Astyanax mexicanus: one gene and its partner. The protein of the gene in region 2 purifies or fractionates together with the protein of the main gene of each other region. This does not show direct contact. Links are inferred from orthologs where the notes say so. Each region holds a gene or a part of one and is shown on either strand. Other genes may lie near its edges.

Region 1 (15,381 bases), on a different chromosome or scaffold from region 2:
TCAGAAACCACAAATGAACAGCTCCCCAGATAAGAGCACCTAAATGCTTAAATCACAGAGTATTCTGATTTGTTTGAATCACTTCACTGTTCATTTATAATGATGTAGTGTACCTGAGACACTCCAGCTCTGGCCTGGTGAGCCTTTTTGACATCGCCCCAGTTGCCCGTGGCCAGAGAATACTTCAGCCCATCAGAGATGATGCGGGTTTTGATGGCCAGCTCCAGGTTAAAGTCCTTCCCCCGGTCGATAAACTTCTGTGCGTAGATCCTGATCTCCTTCAGCAGGTTCTTAAACATTCTGGAGAGGAGACGAGAGTTAGACAGAGTTTAATTCAACTTTTCATACTCAATTTCTTCTCAAAGTCTCTTTTAGTAATGGTTAATAATACTCAATCTTCTCACCCTCTGAAGAGGAAGGCCAGCAGAGGGCCGGCCAGGTCCAGCCTTTTGTTTCCGTAATGATCTCTGTCATCCAGCTCTCTTCTGCCCAGAGCTGCCAGCAGCAGTCTGTGCACCATATAACTACAGAATAAAGTACAGGAAACAAAGAACAAACAGAAACATCAGTGTAAATATACACATATCTGGTATATGCTGTTATGATAACTACAGAACTATCGTTTAACATACAGACAGACCCTCAATCACTTCTGCTGTTCTTGACATTGGCGATTATTTTTTATTATTGTGGAAAGCCTATTAATGTGAACAGAGCTGCAACAACTAATCGACTTATAGATTAATCAGTTATAAATATAGTTAGCAACTTATTTAATAATGGATTAGCTGGGTCTACATTATTATAACACATAAGTACAGTATGTATACCAACCAAAGCCATGGCAGTAAAACACCATTAAACTGGATGCATGTTGGAGCCACAGGTGAGATTCACAGTAAATTCGCAGTAAATTAATAAAAACTTTTTCTTTTTATCTTAACGTTTCTATAGCCTGCTAGAGTGTTTAAAATATACATCTCTCATTTTCTCATTTTTATTAAATGTATATCTCACACTTAAAATGTTAAATAAACTAAACGTAAAGTCTTTTTCAAGATCTTTTCTGACTCTAATGTTGTCTGGATGTCAATAACGATAATAATACAATTATTAAACGTGAATGAGCAGATATTTCGGTTTTCTACACAAACAGTGCTTTTTTTGCATTTGTTTTATTTCATTAGAATACATAAATATTTTATATAGTCAAGTACCAATGTCTGGATATTTTAAACTTCTGTAAAACCTCTTTAAAAAAGATTTAAAAAGATTAACTGCATTGTTGTGCTATTATTAGATCATTAAATCAGTGTTATAAAATGGTCTTAAATAAAACCATTAATAAATGGCAATAAATTATATTAATATTGTGTATCTTGATTATTTCTAGGACAGTGCTAATTTTACTGAAATACTCACCCTAAAAAGTAGGCTTTCTTTGTCTCACAGAAGTCAGAAACTCCCACATGGGGCAGAACCTCTTTCTGCAGAACCTCTTTAGCGTATTTAATCCTCCTCTCCTTGGTGACTCCAGGTTTGGCTCCTCTGGATCCGATGAAGTTCAGAGCTACGTTCTGCTCCTGGATCACGAAGGCCTCGTCCAGAGACGGCTTCACCTGTGGAGATGCAGAGAGAGAGAAAAGAGAGAGTCAGTTTTGTAACGAACACACGTGCAACAAAAGAACGCTTCACATTAAGTTTCCCTTTAACCTTTGTCAGAATTTGAGTGTAGCACTGAGAATTCTCTTCAGCCATGATCAGGCTTTTTTTGTATAGTGTTAAAAGTTAAAGGTTTTGTTCTAAGGGACCATTAAACCATTAAGTGACTGCACACAACACTTAATTTGCTTTCAAGGGATTACTTTAGAAGAAATTGATATCTAAGGGATGATCCAATTATGTACCTTTAGAAAGCTCTTAGACAATTTTGTTCCAAATATTTTTCTAAAACTACATCTTTGAGGGATAGTTAAGGGAAATATTAAGGGAAAAAAATAATATTTTATGCTGAATCTGAATAATCCCCAGTCCCAGGCATTGCTGATTTGATTTAAGTGTTTTAAAGCAGGTAATTACCATCTCCATCATCTCTGGGTCATCAAAGTCGTAGATGATGTGCTCCAGGATGTCCCTGTCGGACACAAATCCCAGAGCTCTGAACACGATGATGATGGGCACTTCCTGTCTGATGTACGGCAGCGTAGAGACAATTCTCTGACCGATAGCGCTCTTCTTCACTCCCTGAAAAAAAAAAAAACAGAAAAATCAAATATACAGTGTTAAAATAACACTGACTGTGCAATAAAAAGCAAAAGAGTAGTACCCTGATGTGATTAATCAGGATATTTATATTTCATGGTATAATATCGTTCACAATATTTTAAAAATGTTGGGGATATTAATGCGTACAACACGATACGGCACAGCCCTAGTTTTAATTATTTCATATTATTTAATATTGCTCTGTGTCCACAGGTGTATAATAAAAGCAGCAGCTAAGCATGCTGGCTTCAGATATCACTACACACACCTCAAACTTCATGTAGCTTCAGATTAACTCAAGAACAGTAGAGAGTAGAGAGGTAATATAGTGTGTAATTGTATAAAGGTGTAAAGGTGTGTTCTGACCTGTCCTCCTCTGGCCATCATGCTGACCCAGATGGAGCTGGTGGGTCTGGAGGAGTTCTCCAGGCAGGACCTGCACTCGGCCGTGTACGCATACTTAGAGTCCTTTTTTGCAAACACATACACCGTGTTAGTGGCCATCTTCTCCTGAGCGATAAGAACCTGCAAATACAGACATCAGCATTATATTATATTCAGGAAATCATGCAATATCTGGTACAAATGATGCAGGACAGGCTACACACATTTAAAGTATCGTATTAATGATTTAATAATTTCTGAATTACTGTAGTACTACTGAATACGGTCATGAGCAAAAAAACTAATTAACTAAATCCTAATTATTTTTGTCAATACTCATCGACTGTAATCATGCACTAAATTGAAGTTAAAAAGATAAAATCAATACACAAAATACAATATAAAAAGTCAATGCAGCAAAATCACACAGATTAAAACAAGATATGCACTGGATTTTTAACAAGAAAAATCAAATGGCATATTTTAATCTCGATTATCTCAATTACTGTTTTCACAATTCTTTAAAAAACAAATATATCAGTAAAAATGCAATTTAAATAAATCACCAAGCCCTAGAACTAGACCTGTCAAAATAACAATATTTTGTGGTTTACTGTGAAACAATTTTACTGTGCATATTAAAGACCAATAAATTGCACTGATTTAATGATTACAAAAAAGCAAAACAAAGCATGCATACCCTTTTAAAGTCAACATTATGATTAATTACCACAATTCTCAAATATTATTGAGGTCATGTCCATTTATTGTATGATAAGTCAATAACGTGCTTAAAGTAACTGAAAGTATAAATAAAAAAAAAAGAAATTTTAAACAAATTACAATAAAAAAAAAGCAATGAACGTTTTCATCAAATTTTTTTTTTTTTTTTTGCCAGCCACAAACAAGTCCACTAAAAGCACTGTTAATCATTACAGTAAATAAAATATAATTTATTTTTCTATTTCTTTAAAGCTGGGAAGGCACGGGTAACTTCCATATTTAAATCACATTAGGCATTTATCTGCAACCTAACCTGGATTTTGTCTTCAAAATATCTAATCTAAACGTTTAAATAGAGCAAAAAGAGAGTATATGAAACATTTATAAACGATGATAAAGTGGTATTTATAATAAGATGAAATCAGCTATCAGATCCTGACCTTCTCGGAGCCGTTGATGATGAAGTAGCCCCCCGGGTCCAGGGGACACTCGTTCAGCTCACAGAGATCACGGTCCGTCAGGCCGCTGAGGAGACAGTAGGTGGAGCGGAGCATGATGGGAATTTTGCCGATGAAGGTTTTCTGGTGCTGCGTCTGAAGCTGCTCCTCTCCCTCCTTTATGATGGTCTTGGTGATGTCCACGTACAGAGGAGCCGAGTACCTGAACCAGCAGAGCATTTTACACAATAAATCACACAACTTTTAACATCTTATTCTTACATTTTCACATAATTATCTGAACTTTCTACTCCTTACATTTTAATAAAAACAACCTATTTAGTTTCAGCTGGTTTTCATTCCGGCTTCTCATCGTTCAAGAAAACCCCTATCCAGATAAATCTCTCCATCCAGATAGAGTGAATCTGATTGTGATTGGATGAAGAGAAGTCTAAACATATACCATTCCGACTCCCTATTGGTTTATTGGTTTATACTATGATCCATCACACCTGCACACGCCCCCCAAAGGCTGTTGTACTCACGTGAGGTTTCGGAGTCTGGCCTCATTGGGCATCATGGGTGATGGAGCTCCATCTCTTTCCCAGTGTGTTGGTTTGGACAAATAGATCTGCTCAAACTTCAGCAGATACCGAGGCTACAAAAAAAAAAAAAAAAAAAAAAAAAAAAAAAATCACATTAAAAAAAAAACTTTCACAAACAGCATTTTATGTTTTATTGATGAATAAAAACAGAGTTTAGGCCTGTCACAATTAACTTTTTTTGATAACCTATTGTACAAAATCACTGGAAAAAAACACTATTTAAACAAAGCTGACGTTAGGGGTGGGCGATATAAAATAATATTAATAATTATTATATTATTGTTATTATAATAACAGATGCTAGATATGTGCAATCACATTCGGCATTAACTTACCGGTTCCTCCACCTCTCCGGAGGTGTGCTGAGCTTCAGCCTGTAGGTCTATGGGTGGAGCATCCTCCACGATCCTCTGAACAGACATCTGAATAAACTCATCAAATGAGTCCAGCTGCTGTCGCACCAGGCCCTTCTCATCAAAGTAGGAGCTGGAGAATAAAGAAGAGAAAGCATATTTTTAACATCTGGCCAGTGGACATTTGATTTAGAACAAAATGCTTAAATAACAGAGTTCAATGTATTAAAGCAGCAACATTATCTACCTGATAACAATCCAGCAGGCTTCCTGCCACAGATCTGGGGTGATTTCATCATCATCTTCATCATACTGGATATCTGGAGAAAGAAAGGGAGAGGTTTATTCTCAGAGACTAAACTACATTTTCAGCAGACTATCAGATTCTCAGTGCATCAACAGCAGCAAATAAATCTGGTTTAATCAAGGCCAGAGGTAGCTATAGCTCAGCTTAGGCTATGATCTTACCCACCCAAACAGGAGATGAGAAACTTTATATCTTTACCTATAGATAATAGCAAAACAGTTTCTAATTTTTAAAACATTTCAAGTGCTGCAGATATAGGAACAGCCAGTAGAAAACCTTAATAATTTGTGTGAATTAAAAATTAACCAACAAACCTTTTTTTCTAGAGCTGTATATATTATATATTAGGTTTATTTGAGCATACGATTGGTCAATTCAGAATGCAGTCAACATGTAAACTGAGTGCAAACAAGTAACTACAAGAATCTAACTGAAACAGAGATATATTTTTTATTTTACTGAAATAAATCATATTGGTAAAATGCAATCAATAACAAGACATAACTTTTATTACTATATATATATATTACGTACTGATAACCGTCCTATAATCAGTATGAATAATATAAAAAAAAAACACGTGAAAATATGCCCACAACATTCCTACAAACTTCTGAAACACTTGCCTAGGTTAGCTAACAGCTAGCTACCTAAACTTTATTTATTTAACTAGATACGCTTTTTTATTATATATTCTAGTACAAACAAAGCTTAAAATCACCCGCTGATATAATTTAAAGAGTGATTATCGAAAAATAAACTGCATTTATTACTGAAATAAAGCAGAAATCCCAGTATTTTGAGTCTTAAATGAGAGAATAGTCTGTTGTCTATAAAGAGCTGCTAAGCTAACATGCTAACTACGTTGTGTTAACGCGCAGTTTACAGCACATTAAACCGAATTACGAAGCAGAACAGAGTATTTAAGCTTCCAGCGCTTTAAACAAACCTTCATCCTGATCATACATGATGTTTACTGTTGTTTACAGCCTTGTTTACGGTAAACAAACACAAAAACGTCCCGTTAAAACGCGCTGTATCTGTTCACCGAGCCGCCGGCGCGCGCGTGGCGTCACTTCTGGTGCTCGCGACCGAATTGTACGTTCATATATGTGATCTCTTGCTTTTACTAGGAATAAGGTTTTAATTGATTTGTGTGAGTTTTAATTACAATTATATAATTATTTAATCATATGTGTCACTTTGACTAATAAAAAATAAACAAATCTTATGTATTTTTGTTTACTGCAAAGTATTATACTGAAAATGGAAAAATCTTAAATAATATATATTTTTTCGTTACTTAAGTAAAATATATCAATAAAAAAACTCCTAAAAAAATGTTAATAACCCCAAAAATACGGCATTTTTTAACATCTATGATAGATTGTTTAGAAAATAAATTAACAAAAAATATTTTTACTCTTTCTCTCTTTTCATAATAACTAATGATAATGAGTTAAGCTAGTGTTACATATTGTATTGTATTAGTGCACTATATCAATTGTACACAATATATTACACAATCCAATAAAATAAAAAAACATTCATATATTATTTTACAACATTTTATTTATATAAATATTTTATAATTAGTTATTTTGAATGTAAAAAATCAAATCGTACTTGTTTATTCTTAATGCAAGATTTGAATTCATGTATTATGTCAGTTATTTACAATATATTACACAATCCAGTAAAGTAAAAAAAGACACGTTGATTAATTATTACTATTACTAGTTTTTTATTGTATTGTATATGTATACTTTATTTTAAAACATAATAAAACAGTTTGGCGATTAAATACTTTTCTTCTTCTTCTTTTTTTTTTAGAAAATAGCGTAAGTGTCATTATATTAGCATCCGGTGCTCTGTCGATTTGTGCTATTGAGCTATATATGGTCTCAGTCGTTCTACGCACACAATTTGACACGCTTTTACATATTTATATGTTGTTTTTTATCATAATAAATTAAACAAATATTTTTTCTATACTTTTACTGAAAGCATCGTTGTTCAAATCTCGTTTGCTATCCCAATTATTACAAAATACACAGCACGGCAACAAGTTTTGACCAGGTAGCAGAAATCGACACAACACTGATGACGTCTTTTACCAGCGACAGACGAAAACACTCCTCCTGTCTGTGTTCACGTGTGTTCGTGAGTTGATCTGAGATTTCTTTTTGTAATGTATAAATGTTTATATCGGTTTATTGATATATATTGCTTATGTTATCACGATGTTTAAATTATTACAGCTATCTGCGGTTCAGTTTTCGTCTCTTAAATGTTTAAAACGTGTGTCAGAGCTAGAAAACAGAAGATGGTGTCACCTTTACTCGGGTCTTCTGTCTCAAAGTAGCAGAAACAGCTGTGTTTCAGTTGACAGGACTAAATGCTTAAGATTAAGATTTCACACCACTGTGACAGTGACTTTAAAAGACTCTGAAAGAACTGAAATACATAAAGAAAGACTTCAGTCATTATCAGGATCATCTTCATTATCTTCCACTCTACATCCTAATCAGACCAAAGCAGTGTACTCCTCTGTAGAGCCAGATAAAGAGGAGGAGTTTGCTTTTCTTGAGTTTTCTGATGTTCAGGACCAAGAACAAGAAGATGTTCCAGAGCATCTTCGCGTAACTGAGTCCATGAAGGTCAAAGAGGACAAAGCGCCCAAGATTACCAGCGCAGAGCTGCGGCACAAGGCCTTGGAGCTTCAATTGAAGTCGTTGAGAGATGTTGCCACCAAGGAGGTGGACCAAGAGGCGTCCATTGAGTTCCACGACGAGGGATTTCCACTGGAAAAGTCATCTAATAAGAAGAAATTGAAAAAGAAGCAAGAGCATAAAGTCTACGGTACGCCGGACGCAGAAGTTCCAGTAAGTGACTCCTGCTGCACCGGCTGTGGTGCCCTGATGCACTGTACCATCCCTGAAGTACCTGGGTACCTCCCCAGCGAGAAGTTCAAACAGCTGATCGAGGAGGACTCCTTAAAGCAGGCGGTGTGCCAGCGCTGCTTCCTACTCGTCCACCACCAGAAAGCTCTGAATGTCACAATGTCCAAAGAGGAATACAGGAAAATAGTCGGTAAAATAAAGTCTCAGAAAGCGCTGGTGCTGCTCATCGTGGATCTTCTGGATCTCCCAGACTCCATCGTCCCAGACCTGCCGCAACTCGTGGGCCAAAACAAGCATGTGGTGATTTTGGGGAACAAAGTGGACCTGCTGCCTGGAGACACAGATAACTACCTGAAGAGGATCAGAGGGCAGCTGGCGCAGTATTGTGCAGACGCAGGTGTAGCCATCACTGACCAAAAAGACATCCATCTCATCAGTGCTAAGACTGGGTACGGCATAGAGAACCTGATCACCAGGCTGCAGATGTCCTGGAAGTATAAGGGGGATGTGTATCTGGTTGGCACCGCCAACGCTGGCAAGTCTACGCTGTTCAACACCCTGCTGGAGTCTGACTACTGCAAGTCCAGAGCCTCAGACGTGATCCACAAAGCCACCATTTCTCCATGGCCAGGTAATATATATTATATATATATTCTCTCGAAGATATACACACACACTCACCATAACATTCTGACCAAAAATGTGTAGTTGAGATGAAGAAATACTTCACTACTGTACTTAAGTACTAAAATACTGTATCTATATCTACTAGAGTATTATTTTTACTTCACTTCTTAAGTAATTAGGTACCAAAACACTGTATCTGTATCTATTGAAGTATTATTTATTACTTCACTACTTAAGTACTAAAATACTGTATCTGTACTCTAATGATACTTCATTGCATATTTTAGATGAGTTTATTTTTTAATCGTTTTTTTATGTGCTGAATTATTACTAGAGACCTTGACTTGAGTAAAACGAAAAGTGCTCGGTCAAAAAAGTGAATTAAGTAGAAGTGTTTTTTAAGCTTTACACTTAAGTGGAAGTACTAAAGTATTTAACGTTTTCTGTACTCAAGTATTGCAAGTAGTTTGTTGTAAAATGTAGTACTAAAATACTGAAAATCTCCAGTAGATACAGATACAGCATTTTAGTACTTCAGTACAGTAGTGAAGTAAAAATAATACTTCAGTAGATACAGATACAGGATTTTAGTACCCAAGTACAGTAGTGAAGTAGTAAAAATAATACTTCAGTAGATACAGATACATCATTTTAGTACTAAAGTACAGTAATGAAGTAAAAATAATACTCCAGTAGATACAGATACAGCATTTTAGTACTTCAGTATGGTAGTAAAGTAAAAATAATACTTCAGTAGATACAGATACAGTATTTTAGTACTTCAGTATGGTAGTAAAGTAAAAATAATACTTCAGTAGATACAGATACAGTATTTTAGTACTAAAGTACAGTAATGAAGTAAAAATAATACTCCAGTAGATACAGATACAGTATTTTAGTACTTCAGTATGGTAGTAAAGTAAAAATAATACTTCAGTAGATATAGATACAGGATTTTAGTACCCAAGTACAGTAGTGAAGTAGTAAAAATAATACTCCAGTAGATACAGTATTTATGTAGTATCTGTAATTATAGAACTATACACTTATTATAGAACACACTCTGTTTTCATCCTTGTTTATGAAGGAACAACACTGAACCTGCTGAAGTTTCCCATCATCAATCCAACACCGTACCGGCTGTTCCGGCGGGCGGAGCGTCTGCGCCTCGCGGCCCAGGAGACGGAGGAGGACCTCAGCCCGGAGGAGCTGAAGAGGATCAGGCAGTTCAGCAGGCAGGGGTACCTGGTCGGTGAGTAGAGAACCTGCTGTAACCTTTATGCTACAACAATAGAGTAGAGGTACTTAGAGTTTAGCTTTAACTTTATTGTACTGAATAGAACCCTGATCTTTATCAGTGTGTAAAACTACCTCCACCATGTTTAAAAGCTGTACTTTACTTTGGGGGTCTTACTTACAGTAAGAGTGTATGAAACTACCTCCACCATGTTTAAAAGCTGTACTTTAGCATGAAGTCTATCTGCTTCTTAATGGCGCTCTTTTAAGCCACCTAGAGAAAATTCAAATAATAAAAGGTTATAATTCTATATATTATCAAAAATAAAAGTGATTTTTCATTGGCATTGCTCAAAGAATCACATGAGGACATGGATTTAACTTTCTTTTTTTTCGCTGTAAAATAAACAGGATATAGTCCAGGGTTATTCCTGATTTGAGTCTAGGAAATCGACAAACTCTCTTTAATAAACACAGTATTTATACCCTCTTATTATCTGTTGTAGGCATCAATGTTCTTTGGGGTCAAGAACATTTTAAAACCAGATGTTTTAACAGGGAGGTCTTTTGTAAAGAATATAATAATAATTATAATAAGTCAACAAACACATATAACATGACATAATCTGTAAAAATGTATTTCTAATAATTTTCTGAAGGTTTAAAATTCTGGGGTCCAATTAACCCCAAATAGAAATATCAGTAGCTTTATATAAATCAGAGATCTGATTGCAGGTCGGGTCGGTCGGACGTTCCGAGTGGATCAGTCCAAGAAGAAGTTGGTGGAGTTCGACCCGGACAGTCTCAGCTTCGGAGAGGACCTTACTGAGGACAGCGTAGGGAAACCGCGCGAGGACACGGACACTGTGGAGACTGAGCTGCCCTATAACGAGATTAAAGACGCCCACTGGTTCTACGATACCCCCGGCATTATGAAGGAGTACGATGTGAGTGATGATGTAAGAGGTTGTGTATGAGTTGAAGGTAATTTGGAACAGAAGTGTGGAAATGGGACGATGTTTTTGGGTTTTCTTCAGGTTCTCAGTGTGCTAAACGAACAGGAGGTGAAGATAGTGTCGCCCACACACGCCATCACCCCGAGGACGTTTCTGCTGAAGCCTGGCATGGTGTTGTTTCTGGGAGCGCTGGCACGCATTGATTACCTGGAGGTAGGAATAAAGAGTATTGAAGAAAAAAAAAAAAGAAAATACTCCAATAGAGAACAGATACAGTATTTTAGTACTTAAGCACAGTAGTGAAGTAAAAATAATACTCCAGTAGATACAGATACAGCATTTTAGTACTTCAGTACAGTAGTGAAGAAAGAGTAATATTACAGTAGATAAACATACAGTATTTTAAGTACTTCATTACAGTAGTAAAGTAAAAAAATAATACTCCAGTAGATACACATACCGTATTTTAGTACTTTTACTTTTACACTATATATCTCTGATTATCATTAATGATCTCTTTTACCGTCCGCAGGGGAATCAGTCGTGCTGGTTTACGGTCGTCGCTTCTTCACAAATTCCAGTGCACATCACCAGTTTGGACAAGGCTGACGCCGTCTACGATAAACATGCGGGGAACTCTCTACTGGCTGTGAGTTACAACTCAAATAATACTAATATCTGTGTGATAAAGCACCAGATCAATGCTGACCCTCAGAAACCCTTTATCTCCAAAACAGCAGCTTTATACTAACATGAAAAACATCTTAACCTTTAGTGGAGATCAGTGTAAAAAGAGTTCATAGAATTATTGTGAAGCATTTCTATTGGTCCTTTCCTCATGCAAATCTGATTCAATATAAAGAACAGCTTCCAATGTTCCCAATGGTGGTGTAATGGTGGTGATCTGGAGGTGTTGGTCTAGTGTTGGTCTGGTAATGGTCGTCTGGTGGTTGTCTGATGGTGATCTAGTGGTGATCTGCTGGTGGTGGTGGTCTGATGGAGGTGTAATGGTGATCTGGTGGTGGTCTAATGGTGGATCTGGTTGTTGTCTAATGGAGGTCTGATGGTGGTAATCTGGAGGTGTTGGTCTGTTAATGGTTGTCTGATGGTGATCTGCTGGTGGTGGTGGTCTGAAGGTAAGTGTTCACACTCCTCTGTTTCCTGTTCAGGTGCCAATGGGTGGAAAAGAGCGCATGAAAGAGTTTCCTCCTTTTGAAGCTCAAGACTTTGAACTGGAGGGTCAAGGAGTGAAGACGGCGGTGACGGACATCAAACTGTCCTCAGCAGGTAAATCACCTGATAACTTCAAATAACTAAATCCAGATTATATAAAATAAAGGAAATAGACAAACACAGTCTGTTAGGTTAAATTAGGTCAAAATTTTAGTACAATATTAGAGAAAGCTCTAATCTGATCTGAACTCTGGTCTGTGTCAGGTTGGGTTTCGGTGACGGCAGCTCAGGGGGAGCGTCTGCGGTTGCGGGCTCACGCTCCCAAAGCAGCAGGACTGTGTTTACGGACGCCGCCGCTGCTTCCTCACATCGTTAATGTGAAGGGAGACCGCATCCGCAAATCTGCCGCCTACAAACCCAAGAAACCCCAGACTGTTAACAACAGGAGTCTCCCGGTACAGAAGGAACGGAAGAGAAACTGAAAAATCATCTGAAAGTCTGGACGGGTCACTCTGTCTTTATGCATTGATACAGTTTTATGTATATATTTGACTCATTACTTTAAATACTTTAGTGTAAAAATGATGTTTAATACGGTTAATAAATTACAATTAAATAAATCATTACAGAAAGTAATTTTGTTTTGTTTCTTCACATTTACTAGGGCTGGGTATTGGCAAAAAAAACTTGGCGGTACAGAGATTATGATTTAATATCACAATATATTATATTGTTTATATATTGACATACTGTAACATTTTAGAGCAGAAAAATATATAATATTGATAAAATGAATCTTTAAGTTCTTTTTTTTTAACCAATCAGAACAGTGGGATATAACAAGATCACTATCTAGTGCACTAAGTTATCCACTTCTGACACCAATAATTACATATAAATGAATAATTAATTAAATATATATTTTTAAATGTTCAAATTTAGTAAAAATATGCATTAATTCAAGAAAACAAGGCACACATTTAGGAATCAATATATTTTTTTATTCAGATCTTGGTTCTTTACACGTGATAAGGCACAAAACACACTTAACCGAAACCGTTCCTGTAAAAAGCCAATTTAATTTCCTCGTGGGAAATAGATCACAGTTCTAAAGATCAAACATTACAGCTGATACTAAATGTCTACCTCACATATTAAAACAAGTGACTTTTTTATTCTTTTGATTACATCTGTAAAACAAAGGAGATATGATTTCAGTTTAGATTCCATAGAAAAGAAAAGGTCAGTAAGTAAAATCTCTATTAAACATAAACTAAATCAGACTCAAATTTACAGAAACTCCTCTAACCGTCTACGAGTGCATTACATTAGGGGGGTGTTTAAGCTGTTTAACCAGTGGATGACCAGTTACAGGGGGAGGGGCCTAGAGGTTGCTTTGGTTTGATATCCAATATACATTATTGCACTATTACTGAATTCACTAAAGGCATCCATTTATACGTTTTTTTTCCCCCCAAACACATTTTTGTACATATATATATATTTTTTTACATGGCACAGATGAATGCCAGTCTAACCAACATAATGCCAGCTTGGGTCGGCTTTGGAGTTACAAAAATGAATTTCGAGGAAATTCTTCCTGTGGCACTGAGATCTGAATTACTCTTCAGGAAAAATCGCAAAAGGAGAAAAGTCCACCTTAAAAGTTCAACCTCATGAAGACACGCTCACACAAACCAACAAATACACATGCACACACTGAAAAGGAAAAAAAAAAAAAACACAAAAAAGATCAACACAAAAAAAAACAACCAAAAAAATGATTGTCAGACGCATGAACAAAAACAAACCTAAAAAAAGAGGAAAAACAATGAAGACAATGAAACAGTTGAGTAATATGTACAGTGTATGTTTCCGCAACAGGCACATGAATGAGAATATAAAATCATCTTTGGACCAAACTGTGAAATTGAGGCTTCACCCACACATATCCAGATATTTTTAATAAAAACTAAGATTTTATTCCAAGCATGCTAGCCCTGTAGGGGGCGATATAGAGTACCTCATAAAGTGAGGCATCAACCCACCATAAAGAAGAATGAAAAGCTAATACAATAGATTCAACCACTACACTCTAATATCGCTCTTCCATCAAAAGAACTCTTTTCAGGCTTATGAGAACCGTGGTGCTTTTTAGAGAACCAGCCTGTGTTTCCACCATTTTTAGTGGAACCGCCAAAATGTCACATCATACGTCATCAACAAAGGGGAACTGCACAGCACTGACATTCTAAATCTAAACAGAGCATTATATATCTGTATTAGAAGAGTATTTACAATAATAATCACAAGTGGAAAACCTAAAATTCTAGTGCTGTGTGTGTATATAGACGTTGTAGTTTTATTAATGACTTATGTGGATAATTTCTTAGGAAACATGGAGGCAATCGAGATTCAGCTAGAAATATAAAGCACTGTTTTGACTGTCCACACAGCAATAACAAAACCTTAATTTAAAAAAAAAAAATATCTGGATATATGTCGACGTGGCCTAAGAAAGCATAAAAGAAGATGAACAAAAAAAGAAGTCTTCTACAGCAGTGTTTTCTCAATGTTGGTCCTGGAGAACCCCCTGGCCTGCAACCGTTAGGTGGTTTCCTACCTTCAACTAGCTTTAAAAGGCTTTTTATTGGTTAATTTTCTGGGCGAACACATAGGGTCAGTTTTCTGAACAAGAATTAAGCCTAGGAGTAGACTATATATTTTCCTTTCTGTGGAAAATCTCCAAAATGCTCCAAAAAGTTTTAAGGCTTAATTCTTGTCTGGGAAACCAGCCCCATAGTGTTTAGATCACTTTTTAAATGGAAAATCTCCATTAAAAATGCTGGTAATACCAAGACTAGCCTTTCCCATTTGAGTGTGTTGGTTTTATTTGTGGTGAAAATGTGGTGATGACCTCTATCTGACCCAACTATGGGCCAGATCAGGCAGATTTTCATTTTTAGAAACCAAATCAAGGAGAAAATGCTCTAAATTCACTAATTTGAACCAGAGCACACCAACTGTAGACGTGAAAAACTCTTAAAATGTGCAGAAGAGGAGATTCTCCAGAACCAAATCAGAAAGGGATGCAAGCCACTGTTCTAGATTAGAACTCGAACACAAAACACTCAACTGTACCAACTGTAGAAAAGGTAAAAGTAAAGTTTGGCTTTCTAACTGGTTTCTACATGTTTTGGTTACTGTCCATCATACATGTCCATGGTTAAGGAGCTACTGCATGAAGTTAATCCACCAATGTTCTTCTGAAGAAGTTCTACACCAAGGATGGGGCATAGATGACGACGACGCCGGCTGTCGAGGGTCCCTTAAACTGTATTTTACAAAGACACAGACCGGTTTTGGTCATGCACACCAATGTTAATGCTCTTTTTCATTCTCGCATTCACAA
Region 2 (15,496 bases):
AACCTGAGAGATGAGCATTGGAGGTGAGAGATGAGCAGTGGAGGACAGCAGAGCTGAGAGATGAGCAGTGGAGGACAGTAGAGCTGAGAGATGAGCAATGGAGGACAGTAGAGCTGAGAGATGAGCAGTGGAGGTGACAGATGCGCAGTGGAGGACAGTAGAGCTGAGAGATGAGCAGTGGAGGACAGTAGAGCTAAGAGGTGAGCAGTGGAGGACAGTAGAGCTGAAGGATGAGCAGTGGAGGACAGTAGAGCTTAGAGATGAGCAGTGGAGGACAGTAGAGCTGAGAGATGAGCAGTGGAGGACAGTAGAGATGAGAGATGAACAGCAGATTTTATTTCTAGAGTTAGTGTGCACAGATTTTTATTTTAACTTTATCTGCAGAGACAATAGTAAACCTGAGAGATGAGCAGTGGAGGTGAGAGATGAGCAGTGGAGGACAGCAGAGCTGAGAGATGAGCAGTGGAGGACAGTAGAGCTGAGAGATGAGCAATGGAGGACAGTAGAGCTGAGAGATGAGCAGTGGAGGTGACAGATGCGCAGTGGAGGACAGTAGAGCTGAGAGATGAGCAGTAGAGGACAGTAGAGCTGAGAGATGAGCAGTGGAGGACAGTAGAGCGGAGAGATGAGCAGCGGATTTACTCTCTTGAATTACAGTTCAAAGATTTTTATTTAAACATTATCTGTATTTGCCTATTTATTTTCATTCACAACAGTACTTTACTAAAAAAAAAACACTTCTGCTCACTGGCTGAACCGCAGGTAGAGAACAGAGTATCACCAGAGGATATCTACAGAGGAGAAAACACTAGTCAGACACTAGAGGGCGCTTCCGAGTCCAAAATGAAAAGGTTTATATGGAGCAATAGAGCAAAATCATAGTTTTTAAAGGTTATTTTATACATAGATTTGTCTAGGTTTAAACACAGAACAAAATTACATGTTATAAACCTTTAAACTTCAATTATAAACCATTAAACTTTAGTTATAATAAATATTTTTTAACTTGCTATAAAGCTTTTAAATTCGAGTTATAAAACCTTTAAACTCCAGTTATAAAGCTTTTAAACTTCAGTTAAAAAGCTTTGAATTGTGCTCTGGCTGTATCTGAAACCTCAGCTCATGAACCAATCAGGCCGCAGTAACAGGAATGCAGCGCTTTACTGCCTAAAGCCCGTAAAATATATAGGTACGATTTTCTAGCAAAATATATTATAATTATTATAATATAAAAATGTTAGCAATATTCTAGACTATTGTTAGTGTTTAGCTCTATTCACTGAGGGCTCTGGTGGTCTGCAGTAATTCTGATATAATGGAGGAGACTCGAAGTGGGCAGGCTCTGTATAAACTTGCACCACTGCCACAATTAACATTTATTGTTCACAGCTGGTGTTTATGTTTGTATTTATTGTGTCTCAGGTGTATGATGCATACATTGAGCTGGGGAACCTGCTGGTGAGTAGTGACCCTCTGGCTGCGGTGGACGTTTACAGCCACTTCCCATTTAAACCCGTCACTGATCAGACGTTTGATGAGGCGTTTCTGACTGGAGAGATTGTTCGCATCCTAATGAAGCAGGAGCTGTTCGACCATCCACAGCTGCTCCCCAACCTGATCGCCTACGGGAAGGTCATGGGCCTCAGTGAGTTTCAGTACACATAATGACCTTCACATGACCTTAATCATTAGATCATGCTGTCTGTTTGTGCTGCTGCTCAGAGTCTCTTTATTAATTACTGTATATCTGTATCTCTTTTTGAAGGCTGCCTGGAGAAGTACATTGATGTACTGGATAAGAAGTTCAAGACCAAACTTCTGAAGCATGTTTATGCAGGAATTCATCATAAGTCACTGGACGATGAGGATCTTCAACAGTTTTTTAAGTTTAAATGTTGGATATGAACAGAGTTATGATCTTAAGACTTTTTATTCCGCAAACTCATTCAGCTATAGTTATATGTAGAGTGTTCAGATTAGTCAATATTGTGTGGGTATATGTAACAACATTTTAAACATGAATGTATTTTTATTATTTTTTCCTTTTTAAATTGTCAGAATATATTTAGAGTATTCAGGTTTCTCTCCATCTGTTTTTTTTTTCCCTTTTTTAGCACAATACGCAACAATAGTGGCAGATAACTGCTTACATAAAAATAACATGCAGATATTTAGATCTGACCTATTTGTCTTACTAATATGGTATGAAATGTATAATCCTATGAAGCAGGTCATATACAGTAAATATTAAAGTTATTTAAGTACTTGGATATCTCACCTTTTATTGCTTCCACAAGCAGAACTATGGTCAAAATAAAACCTAACCTCTAAACTTAATACATCTTAATGTCAAAGTAAAACAGTAATTTTAATGTGATATATATATATATATATATATAATATTGTAGTAAAATAAGTGATCACTTAATTATTAACCCCCTTTATAGCTGCAACTCAACAGAAGTCCATTACTGATGATTCTCAAAACTCATCCAGTTGGTTCTGTTTTATTTATTGCATTACAGAATCTACACGCTGAGCTGCGCTGCTTCCTTCACTACCTTCTGCCGTTTTTTTGTACAGTTCCAGTATTTTTTCCTAGTTCAATGTTTTATTTCTAGTTTTGGGATTTGTCTCTGCTTCAGCTCCTTCACCTCTCTACGTTCCCAGCATAGCTGCTGACAATTTTAACGTATTAACTATTTTTAAATGTATTTCACACTTGGGCCCAATCTCATTCTACCTAAAAACTGTAGGGTAGGGTGTCCCGATTCTTGTTGGAACATTGCAGTAGGGTACAGTATTACCTGACCCTCCAAACAGTGATTTTTCAGAGGCACACTACAAATAGAGGGCTATGAGAAATCATGGTAGCATAACAGCACAAGCAACCAAACAAACCCACAAATATAACTGGAGTTTTCTTTGTTAAAAAGTACAATAATCATTCCATTATATTTAATGTGGCTTAAAGTATTGTGGCCATTTCTCAGAACAAGCATAAAAACAGGAGACCCTATTGGGGATTTTAACTCTTTGTAACACAAGGGGTTGGGTACCAATGAGAAATGGGATTGAGCCTTATTCTCCATTTACTTTAACAAAGTCTTTTAAAGTCTTTTTACCTTCATCTCTGAAGTCGCTCTTACATCTCCTTACTTCCTGCTCTCCTCTTTAACCTGCTTCCACCTGCTGATCAGCATATTCATGGTTCTGGGTATGCTGTGTCTTTGCAACAGAGCTAAACACCTTAAATACTGAAGGATTTCCCACCACTGCACTGCACAGACACAAAAACTCAAAGCACATTCCCTGTTTAAAACAACCCTGTTAAAAATCAAACAATGATATAAGTGTGTGTATTCACTATTCCTCTTCTCTAGCTCCATAAACTCCTCTCCTTTCTTTGAGTGAAAAAGTGAGAAATGTGTTTGTGAAGAAAAGCTGTCCACGTCTGGGAAGGAATGCTGTATAAAACACCATTTAATATATTTAAACAGATTAAAGAGCACATCAGCACAGAGACACTGCTCTGCCAAACAGAGTATTTGAGTATGTGAGTATACTCATTAAAAAGTTCATATTTGAGTGGAAAATACAGTTACAGCAGAAATATATACAGGTTTGGAGTCACGGACTCACACTCTGTTCAGCTTGGTAACGATGAGTACTCGCACACACTGGTCGAAGGAAGAACACACACACAGACCCTGTTTATCAGGACTCCAGTCCAGGCTGGAGATGGGCTGCGTGGACAGCGTAACATTTTGCAGGAGGTTCAGTGTCCCAGCCACTCCTCTCTCCTCTCCATCTCCATCCATCTCACTCCTCTTCGCTGGATACTCACTGCAATAACACAAACATTCATAAAAATCATGCATTTAAAAACATATATGTATTAGTTGTCTATGAAACAGGATTTTCAGTATCACAGAGGCTGCTATGAATGTGTGAGATTTTTATAGTGGTACCAGCAATGATTTACTTACTATTTCCATAAGTGCAGGTTTCCTGCTCCACCTGCTGTCATGAAAATGTCTCGGTTTTGAGGCAAATGCCGTACTTGCCATACTGTAGACTTATGAGCCTAAAAAATGTAAAAGAGTAAATGAGCGTGTACAAATCGGAATACCATATTTTTCACACTATAAATTGCACCGGATTAAAAGGTGCACTATCAACAAAAGCATCAGATTATAGGGGGCATTATAAGCAACAAAAATAAGAAACGAGGGTGTCGCATGTTAATCTACACAGATTTCTCCCCTGAAAACTGTTTATTTGGGTGAGTAAAGTGCTTCCGTTTATTTACAGTAAGCTTTGATTTCCAATATGTTTAACAGTGCAGTTAGCAGCAGCGCTAGTCGTGGTTAGCAAATACTAGTAAATGCGCCCGACAGCGCTACACAGAGGAACCCTGAGTGTCAGGGCGCCATCAGCAAGCGGTTCATCCAATGTAGATTAAAGGATTTTAAGTGAGCCTTATAGTGCGAAAAACAATACTAAGATAAACAGAAGCTCCACAGATCTACATTTATATCAGCAACATTCACGTCAACTTCAACTACCTTTTCAGATACAGAAGCAAAGCCTTTGGTTGGGTGTTCAGTTCTCATGTCAAACACGTGGAATTTGCCCTCTAAAGATGTTGCCACCAGTTTGTTCATTTGGATATCCTTCCTGTCAAATTCAACACTGCACACCTATCAAAGAGAGAATACAAATAAACACACAATTATCATACTTTTAAAAAGCTATAGAGACAACACTGCAACATTCATATTAGTGGTTACTTTTTGGTATGTTTGTTATGTTATGTAATAATACTTATAATACATAGATTAGTAATATTCTACAGCACAGACTGAAAGTATTCGGTTCTAGGCAAACAGTTCAGCCCCTGATCAAACTAAGAACCTTTGTTAATTAGCTAAACTAAAATTGCTTGGACACTTAACTTTAACTTGTTAACATTTAGCTGTAAAGTCTCAACCAGACAAGGATTGTCTGAAGGTGATTCCAGAGCTTAGCAAATTTATAGGATTCCTTAAGCAGCTGACTGAGAATAATAAACCACAAATAAAGCTAAATAAAAGGAATTTGTACCAAAGAGAAGTCATAATTTAGAACTATATAACTTTAGAACTGTAAAATTAATCAAATAAAAAATACCTTAAATTAGTCAAATTTAAAGTTGCTATATCTATATAATAGGGATGCACAACCGTATCAGAATTCTATCTGTATGATAATTACTATTTTAGAAACACTGGTCGATACTAATATAATTCCAATATTGTTGTGCATCCATAATATATACATATCAACATGTTCTTTGATTACCATCAGAAATGTCAAAATTGTTAAAATCAACTGCATAAATCACTGAGCTAAAAACCCAGTATCTTTCACATGCTGAAGCAAGAATTTAAGTTCACCTGATCTAAACAGAGCAAAACTCTATATAAACATCTAAATATTCTAGATAATGTGGAGAAAACTGCAGCTTTTTTTATTAAAGGTGCTGCTGACTGATAAAGTAAATATATAAATCATGGAAAATCTATAGGTTAATGTATACGTTTGTGGACATTTTTTCTAATAGATAGAACCTCTGCTGACATTGTTGTGCAAGTGCACACACAGCTTGTCTAGTTCCTGCCAATAGAATAGGATTCCCTGGAGCAGATAAATATGAACCTTTTTGGTTCATTTGCCAGCCACTGGCTAGGAGTGTAAAGACCCCAGAGAAAGTGTGCTGGAATGACACTTTTTAATGGGATGAGTTGAGGAGTTGGGCATAAGGTGGCCGTGATCAAACAGCATCCAAACATCACTAATGCTCATCACTAAACTCAATCAAATCCTCATAGCAATGCTACGAATAAACACTATTTCAGAAGAAGCAGGAACTGCAATACTTTTTTTCCATATATGTTCGAAAAGACAAAAAACAATATTTGATTATAAAACATTATGCATTGGGATTGTGTGGCAGCTAATGTAAGAGAATAGTTCCTATTTACAGCACTGAAAATCTGTGGTTCGATGTTAAACATGACATTTACACAAGACACCTCAACATTGATGTCTGATTTATTTGATGTTTGTAAAGCAGTATTAAACTGTAATCCTAATCACAAATTGTAAAGGTTTTAATGCTGTCCTTATAAACTCTGGAGCACTGGGGTTGACAAAAAGACCAAAGAAAAATGTTTTGCAGAAAACCTGAGGACATGATTCCAACTAAAACTAATAAATCGTACACTTAAATGAGAAAGAAATAAAATTTCACATACGCCATTTTTAATGTTTTTCTCCCATCGTACAGACATATTCCGCAGGTCAAACAGCTTGATGTCTCCATTGTCGTAACCAGCACACACACAGCGGTCCTGGTCATTAAAGGCGTGACCTTTCAATGTAACATAAATAAATAAAGATTTACAACTAAATGGAGTAAAACATGTTTGTGCTTGTTGGCAAACTTTTGACATATTAACTGGATATAGTGTAAAATACACACCAAAAGCAACTGTCCAACAATCTCTCTTAGTTTCTCCTTCGACTGGCTCCATGTTTGCCACAGGTGTGTCCTTTTGTCTCGGGTCCCACACCTTAACTGTACCTACAAAAACAAGTCAAAATACGTACGCCTGATTACAAACTACTGTTCGTACCTAATAGCAAACTTTCTATTGTAGTGTGCATCTCGAAAGCAGTAACGCATACCGTCTCTGCTTCCTGTAACGATTTCTGGAGCACCATCTCCAATACCTAAACCTCCAACGCCATCAACAGCGTTCACTATCTCCTTATGGGCTTTCACCGAGTAAACCGGGACATCCGGCGCTTCCAGATTCCTAAACAAACATTCATACTTCAGTCAGCCTGTTAGTAAAAACTCTAACATACTAGAAAGAAAAAAATTTAAGAAAAAAAAATTATTAATACCACACGTGTAGATTTCCATCAAAGTCTCCTGTGGCCAAATGCCTCTGCTGGAGAGATGAAGCTCCAAACGTCCCACATTTTATGGGCTTGGTTTTCTCCGTCTGAAATACAGAAACAGAACACAAAACTAAGCAGTGCTAATGAATGCAGTCATGAGCATGTGTGCGGATCAGTACACTACATGTAGGATTAGATTAAATGTAACTTAAGATCATAAAATCATGAGTACATACAAATGTTTAAATATATACATTTCCTAGAATTTTGATCAGCACTGTGGGGAACATAAGCAAACACAGTCAACGGCCATCGTTGTTAGTAGGGATGCACCGAAACTGGGATACTCAACAAAAATAACAAAAAAAAAATCAAGTAATAAGTGTTAAGTAAAGCTAAAGACAAATTTATTCTGAACAGTATTGTGTTTTGTTAGAATCTCTGCTTGGAAGTTATAAATATTTAAAATATCGAGACACATGCTGCATTCATTGTTTCTGGTAATACAAGTTCTAAATAAAAGTTTATCCTGCTTTTATTGTAGCAACTGTGACATCTGGCCAGGAAAGACTTTCTACTAGATTTGGAGCAATGCTGTGAGGATTTGATTGCATTGGATGACAAAAAGAGCTACTAAGTGAGATATCATAGAATTTGAAGTGAAGAGAGGTGGAGAGATTAATAAAGGAGTATGGGTGGTTGATGAAGCCCTAAAATAATATCACAATATTTCATGGTATTTTCGTGATCACAATACTCTTGGCAATATGACAAAACACTGAGTTATAAAAATTATTACAAGAATACACTACTGCAACAAAATGAAAAAAAAAAAAAAAAACTTAATCACAGTTTTCATGCATCTTGGCATGTTCTCCTCCACCAGTCTTGCTCACTGATTTTGGATAACTATATGCCACTCCTGTTGCAAAAATTCAGGAAGTTCAGCTTGGTTTGATGGCTTGTGATCATCCATATTCCTCTTGATTATATTACATAGTAAGTTTACTAAAATTTAGTAAAATCAAAGAAACTCATCAGAGTTGTATATTTCAGTGTTGTTTTCGTATCACACGAGGACGTGGCTGCTGTAAAAACACGCTGAAATATATTATCAGAGCTGTCCCTGTTAATCCCCGTTGCTATGACAACCGACAGCCGGACTGTTCTAGAAATCTCAGAGACATTAGCGAGTTACAGACCCTCTAAACTAGAGAATCAGACACTTTTACAGCGATACAGTGATAAAGAGCTAGAGTTCACCTCTTTAACGAGCTTTATGTCTCCGTGCTGCAGCTCGTAGATCTGCATTAATCCGGTTCCTCTGCAGGAACTTCCCAAACACACGAACTTCGCGCTGCAGGGAATCCATTTACTGTCGAACAGCGAGTAATTCAGACTCTTCTGACTGTGGGAGACAACTTGCGGCTTGTCCAGTGGAGCCGACATCCCGCTCCTACCGCTATATAACTTTACTATATAAAATATATATTTATACAGCTCTACACACAGAGCTCCACTATACAGAACTCAGTTCTCTACTCTAACCTGAACTAACTAACGTTAACGCTTCAGTGTTGCACTCTGACCGACCGAGGACCCCTGAACCAACACCGCAGCTGTCCACAGAACTGCCTGACCGCCCGGCCCATACAAATATTTATTTTTCAGACCACATCGTAGACAGCCCTGCCCTCAGCACACTAACTCTATTTCATTTCAATCTTAAACACAGTTTAATCACATTTCTCTCGGTGTTTATCTCCCCTCGCCGCGCTGCTCCCGCTTTTATTCAGTCCGGCGTGTTCAGACAGCTCGGCCCGGGGTCCTTGTGAGTAGAGTGAGGGAGCGCGTGCTACAGGTAAACAGGGAGTTATTAATTCTCCTGTTTTTATTGAATCTGAGGAATAAACACCAAACCCTCCAGCATGGAGACCGCGGAGAGCACGCTGCCCGAGCCGGGGTTTGAGGAGGTCCGGGGGAAGCGGCGGGAGAAGCGGAAGAGAGCGGCGCAGGACGCGGGCATGGAGAGCGACGAGCCTGCTGCGCCCAAGAGGCCGCAGTTCCCCCCCATATCAGGCGATTTACTGCAGGTACAACACTGACCGGGTTCTGTCCTGTGACCCAGGTTAATAACCAGGCTAATAATCGGATTGACTCCGACGGTAGCTGCGGGTTTATTTATAGAAATGTCAAAGAGTTTCTGAGGGCAAAGCCATACACGTGTGCTGTTTTGCGCATGCGCAGATCCTCAGCATGAGCAGTAGCCACGGTACTTGTTAGCAAGTGTGTTTACTAAAAAAACTTAACCTAACAAAAAATATATAAGCGCTCTAACAAAGTTATTACACCTAATGGTTATGTGTACACTACCCCATAAAACCAAGCACACACGTATCCAGTAGAAGTCAGAGACACGCTGTTTGTTCAGGCTCGTTCACACGTGTCCAGATCGATAATATGTGGGCTTTAAATCCTGGTTCCATAGGTGTTCACACGTGTAAATAAGATAATGTCTAATATTTAGGTAACGTTACAAGGATGGATACAGCAGACAACATTTTAGCTAGCTGTAATCAGGTTGTGTTTATCAGTGTTGTTGATGATGATCTATTAATATAAGTTTGAGTCTCTGGTATTCTCGCTCAGCTCGTCTAAGAGCCATTTCGTCACTTCCATCTCTTCAGTCAGAATGAGAGAGTTAGTGTACAGGAGTTTACAACACTACAAAATAAGTGTTTTTATTGTTGTTGTTTTGTTATCTTAAACATATCTGGTTTGTTTTTCAGGGAGGTGCTGATGAGATGAGGAAAATACCTGTTCCTTCTCACCGCTACACACCGTTGAAGGACAACTGGCTTAAAATATTTACCCCCATTGTTGAGAACCTGCAACTTCAAGTCAGATTTAATCTCAAAACAAGAAATGTTGAGATTAAGGTAAAGACAAATTATTTCATTAAATGTGGTTGTGAAAGGGCTTGGAACTGTGAAACTCTTTCATTATTCTTCCTTTTCGTAAATGTATTTATTTATACATTTTCAGACGTGCAAGGAAACACAAGATATTGGTGCGCTCACGAAAGCAGCAGACTTTGTAAAGGCATTTGTTTTGGGATTTCAAGTTGAGGTGGGTATTTAGACACAGTATTTTGAAGATTACAGTGCAGTGAAAAAGTATTTGCCCTATATAGATTTCTTGTTTTTGCTTTTTTTGTCATACTTACATTTTTCAGAAAAAAGATAACCTAAGTGAATATATAAAAAAAACAGTTTTATTGCAGTTGTTGATGCCAAAAACACATCTGTACGGGGCAAATACTTTTTCACATCACTGTATATTTATGAATTACTGTGAAAAATAATTTTTTGAACTGTTCCTCAGGATGCACTTGCACTCATCAGACTGGATGAACTGTTTTTGGAAACATTTGATGTCACAGATGGTAAGTCTAATTTCAGCATTGATGTGCATTTACTCCTCGTAATGTCTCATTTGTAAAGTGGTTTTATTTGTGTAATTTTAGTTAAGCCTCTGAAAGGAGATCACCTCTGTAGAGCTGTTGGTAGAATAGCAGGCAAAGGAGGAAAAACTAAATTCACTATTGAAAACGTCACCAAAACTAGGATAGTCCTGGCAGACACGTGAGTGCATTGTAAATGTTTGTTCATTTTTTGTTTAATTGAACAGTTAATTGCTTATTTTAAGAAAAAATATTCATTTGTATGTGTGCTAATAAATACATTTTATCTTTTATTTTTGCAGGAAGGTTCACATATTAGGATCTTTTCAGAACATAAAAATGGCACGGACAGCTATATGCAATCTCATTTTGGGTAAGTAAAGGCAGGCTGGTGGCTTTTAACCTGCTCCTGGAGTATTGGAACACCTGACATTCACTGTTTCTTTTAAATTTATTTTAAATAATTTTAAGTGCTTTTGTTGGAGTAAATTCCAATTTATAATTCTGCATCGAACCTACGCCATAACCCGACGCACACCTCCCCAGAAATGTAACTATAGAACTCTGACAGCAGCAGCAGCAGCTGTGATTGGTCTACTGAGCTTTGTGTTCCTGCCTTCATGGTTTATACTGCAGAGTGATTCAGAGTCGTGTACACATGAATACAGAAGAATAAACATGCCCACTATGTCAGGCTCTCACGCAGACTACATTGTAGGCAATGCGTTGACTTGACTCAGAAGTATAAACCAGCCTTAACTGTGTCTCCTGTGCAGGGAAGACTTTATACTTAAAACATTTCTTTGAGCAGTTAATTGCATTTAGCTACATAAGCTTCATCATTTTAGAGAACACAGTTCCACTGTGTAGCATTAGGTATGGGGTGAAAAGGATCATGTTTTATCTAGTCCTATTCTATTAGCATCAAGTACTCTACAGAGACTAGACACACTGTGTGTTTGTGTTAGCACATCCGTGTCAGCAAAGGGTGCAACATAGATTACCTTAATGTTTTTATACTGTTTTATATGTCCAAAAAAATAATAATTTAAACCGTAACCTAATACCCCAACCTTACCCAAATAAAAGAAAGGTGTTGGATTTGAATTGTAACGTGCTGTAAGGGAGCTCTGTGGGTGAGGTTTGGAGGCCACTGAGCTGTGTGTGTGTGTGTATGTGTGTATAAGAGGTTGGGTGATGAAATGGATGGTTAGTAACTGGATTGATGTTTCCTTTCACCTCATCAGGGAGCCCACCATCAAAGGTGTATGGGAACATCCGAGCGGTTGCCAGTCGTTCAGCTGAGAGATTCTAACGCTGGCTGGATTTCTCTGATCTGGGACCTGTGGTGCAGCTGATGGACTCATACAGAAATGTGGCAGATTAGACACACAGGAACACGGGTCTGAAATATACCCAACCGGAACTAAAGAACTGTCCCGTCATTTCTGACTGTCTGATGGATCAGTAATTTCTGTAAATATTCACTTAAGAATTGATCAAAAATAAATAAAAATCACATAGCGCTGGAAAAGAGGCAACTCATAGATTCAGTGAGAAATGTGATATTTTAAAGATTTATTTTCATACAGTATCAAGTCTGTGTATTCCCACAGTAGGCAATACAATGCAGCATGCAGAGTGAACATCCCACACCTGAAATGTGGTGAAATTCCCATTCCATCAAAGTAAAGCTGGAGTGAAGTTTACTTTCCCCATATAAATGATGTTTTAATATTAAAAAAAAAAAACCCACCACAACCAGTATGTAAGATCTTCTGTTTGACTGAGTAAATCCCAGTCAGGTCCCTGCCACTCTAATTTAATCAGGAACATTTTAAAAGAAATGAGTTAACTAAACATAGGCAACATCCATGATTCTTAGATATTTGATATTAACATCACAATCTAAGTGTAAACAGTAGGAGTGCTGTAAATTGGAAAACATGCAGAAAGGAAAACGTGCATGCAGGCACTGGAGAAGCTCCAAGGGTTTCAAGATGCACAGAGAGCTGCAGTTAAAGAACGATGAAGGAAATACAGAGAGTGATTAAAGAGGAAAACCTTCTTTCCCCTCAGACTCTAAACTTGTCATGCGGAAACTTTCCAGTGTATTGCAGTCCCACCTAAACATTAAATTCACCATTAACAATGGAGTTATCATTTTTAATATGACCAGTTTTTTGCAGTAGATTGATTTGATATATGCTCACTGATAGTATATTAGGACTATTTCAGTGCACCTGTTTTAAAAAGACCCTAAAGAAGACGATGTTTAGGTAAACTATGAACACAGCTGTTTTCTTGGCATCTGTTTCTGTTTGACTGTTTCACAAGAGTTAAACACAAGTTACTCTGCAATAATATAAATATTTATAAATAAACAATCTATCACAATTGAAAACGGTATCATGGAACATGATTAAATGCAATAATGATAAATATCGCATACCACAATGTGTAAAATAAAAAACAAAAATGTTTTTGGCTTGAAAAAAAAAAATGCACCAAACATGTTTGCCCAAAAAATAATAATGACAGGCAGTATTTACGTAAAGTTTGTCAATTCCATGTTCTGATTGGCACATCATAACCAAGGTCTGTACGGATACTGAATATTATTTTTCTCCTCTGAAAACAAGTTAAATAGCTGATTAGAAAAAGTTACAGACAAAATAAATACTTCAAATAATAAATAAACATTACAAAACAAAAAATGAACAAGCCAACCCGTCTTCCCTTCTCCAGATAGAGACACTCATAGCCGTTTTTCAGTCAGTAAAGTGCTACACCAGGTTATTGAGAGGGTTTAAGTTCAATAACACTTCACCAGGCTCGTATTAGCAAAGGGGGTAGCTCAGAGAGTAAATACTTCTGTTGAAATATTATAGAGGGCAATGCTGGATATCTTGAGCAGATCATCAGAGGTGGACAGGAAAGCGCGGGGCGGGGGGCAGTGCAGGCCGGACACTCACACGTCCACTACCATCTTTTTGTGTATGTCGAGACCGCCGACAACCTGAGTAAAAAAAATGATGTATAAACATTTTACTATTGATACTAGATAAATTGAAGTTTAGCCTGTTGGTTACAGACAGTATCATTATCTGTAAACTGAAACATTCAAAGCATCGGCACAGAAGTCCTCTAAAGGAACAGTAAAATTAACACCACCTGCGTGCAACTTTATAACGATAGACACTTACTGCGCAGAACTCTTCAAAAGATATTCTCCCATCTCCATCCTTATCTGCGTTGATGATGGTCTTATCTACGATCTGCTGCAGCTGTGTGTCCTTCAGGTTGTTCCCCACCATCATCTTCAGGACTTGGAATAATTCCCCATTGGAAATATAACCGTCTTTATCCATGTCGTAGATCCTGAATGCGACTGAAGATACACAGAACAGAGTTAGATTCAGTGGTAACGCATTACAATAAGAGTAAGTTAATTAACAGTGCTAATGACAAAATGTCTCAACTAAATATTACTCGAGACAAGTCAAGACTTAATTAAACACTACAACATTTTTATTTCATTTTAATTTATAACATTCTAATTCATTAAAATTGAGTAATGTTTAATAATGTCTTAACTACTGTCAGTACTGTCAATCATTAGCTCAGAATGTTTGACTCACATCGCAGCTTCTGTTCCTTATCTCCCTTTACGCTGAACTGAGAGACACCCTCTATAAACTCTGGAGAAAACAGAAAAGAAGCTGTTACAGATACAAAATGTGGAAAAAGTTTTTTAGCACAAATTTGCAAAACCCTCACTGTTCCTTATTGGGTTTCATTCTAATCCAGAAGAAGCACAATTTTAGGATGTAGGGTTAACATAAGTGTTAATAACATGGTAATCATTATGAAGTATAATAACATATTCTATCACTCTTTGTTAAAATAATATTATAATATCTATAAAACATAAAAACTTTCAATAAAGGTCATAAACTAATTTGTATATGATTAAGTGAAATACGTATTTAATCACCTACCAACCAGCAAGGCACAAATCAGTCCTGTCCCTTTAAGACAGTACTCTAAATCTCAGCTCATTATGTGTATAAAAGACCCCTGTCACAGAATCAGTCTCTTCCATTCAAACCTCTCCACCATCAGGGGCAAGACCACAGTGCTGTGAAAGAACATCTGAAACAAGACTGTAGACCCGAACAATGCTGGAATGATAAGTTATTAATGTAAATATTGTGACAGGTCTACTCTCTGCACTTTTAAACCTTCCCACACTGGATCTTATTAAAACATTGTAGAGTGGCGTAGTCTCACTGAAGCAGTTGCCTACTAGTAGTGGTGTAACAGATCACAATTCTCACTGTTCAGACCATATCACAGTTTAACTTTGCTTTCTGTTTTTTTAATACGAAGAAGTCTGTAGTGTCTGTGATATTTGTGTTGGATCTCACAAGTTTATGAATAATATACATTTTTTTTTATATTTATGACCAACATATTTGTCTCACACTCTAATTACTTACTAATTAACTAATTAATTACTAATATTTTTGACAGTAAAACCACACAGAGAACTCAATGTTTTGTAGGTGAATGATTTGACAATATTCATCATTTTAATGGTAACTCCTGTGAGTGACTGATTTAATAAAAAAAGGGCATAATCTGGTATAATACCCCTCCTCTGTGTGCTCTGGCCTGTTACATACTTAAGTACCTGGGCCTGATCTGTCCCTGTGTGGCTTGTATAGAGGGGGGCATGTCTGTAGCACCAGACTCCACCCGCTCCACTGTTAGCAGTCACCGCACTGCAGTTCCAGCTGTCTGTGTTTAGAGCACCAGAAGATAACTTAGATACCGTCAATAATTTGTTGACAAATTAGATTTAGATTTAGTTTTCTGTTGATAAAAAAAAAAACGGCACAATGTTCGTACCAAAGTGTGAGCTTTCAGACCCAAAGTGTTTTTGTTACTGATTAATTTAAACTAGTGACTTTCGTTTTTAAACAGTCTGCTCTTTTCTATTAAAAAAATATGGAGAGGTCGGAGTCTTTCTCTCTTGCATTGTGTCTGTATGAAACGGCCACTCCTCCCACTAATATA

The links.
Region 1: the proteins of dnaaf10 (region 2) and polr2b purify together in Homo sapiens (affinity purification with mass spectrometry; 3 studies listed by BioGRID and IntAct, with this or other methods). This does not show direct contact. The link is inferred for Astyanax mexicanus from reciprocal best matches to the Homo sapiens genes DNAAF10 and POLR2B.

The regions. Positions count from the first base shown.
Region 1 is NC_064426.1:1,736,036-1,751,416, reverse strand, and holds the start of polr2b (DNA-directed RNA polymerase II subunit RPB2), read right to left. Parts: upstream 6,159-15,381; 5' UTR 6,043-6,158; coding exon 6,024-6,042; intron 5,088-6,023; coding exon 5,015-5,087; intron 4,901-5,014; coding exon 4,750-4,900; intron 4,468-4,749; coding exon 4,355-4,467; intron 4,033-4,354; coding exon 3,813-4,032; intron 2,791-3,812; coding exon 2,632-2,790; intron 2,245-2,631; coding exon 2,080-2,244; intron 1,620-2,079; coding exon 1,423-1,619; intron 525-1,422; coding exon 405-524; intron 301-404; coding exon 114-300; intron 1-113. Other genes in the region: noa1 (nitric oxide-associated protein 1), read left to right, coding at 7,318-8,608, 9,692-9,856, 10,576-10,787, 10,878-11,009, 11,329-11,445, 11,966-12,083, 12,234-12,451. UniProt on the Homo sapiens protein: Catalytic core component of RNA polymerase II (Pol II), a DNA-dependent RNA polymerase which synthesizes mRNA precursors and many functional non-coding RNAs using the four ribonucleoside triphosphates as substrates.
Region 2 is NC_064414.1:16,648,129-16,663,624, forward strand, and holds dnaaf10 (dynein axonemal assembly factor 10), read right to left. Parts: upstream 8,654-15,496; 5' UTR 8,401-8,653; coding exon 8,215-8,400; intron 7,056-8,214; coding exon 6,955-7,055; intron 6,864-6,954; coding exon 6,733-6,863; intron 6,629-6,732; coding exon 6,527-6,628; intron 6,416-6,526; coding exon 6,300-6,415; intron 4,704-6,299; coding exon 4,569-4,703; intron 4,088-4,568; coding exon 3,990-4,087; intron 3,847-3,989; coding exon 3,639-3,846; 3' UTR 3,466-3,638; downstream 1-3,465. Other genes in the region: uncharacterized protein LOC103030755, read left to right, coding at 1,423-1,645, 1,766-1,905; RNA-binding protein PNO1, read left to right, coding at 8,880-9,044, 9,741-9,890, 9,997-10,080, 10,336-10,396, 10,478-10,595, 10,717-10,787, 11,662-11,729; ppp3r1a (calcineurin subunit B type 1), read right to left, coding at 13,386-13,433, 13,621-13,805, 14,056-14,115. UniProt on the Homo sapiens protein: Key assembly factor specifically required for the stability of axonemal dynein heavy chains in cytoplasm.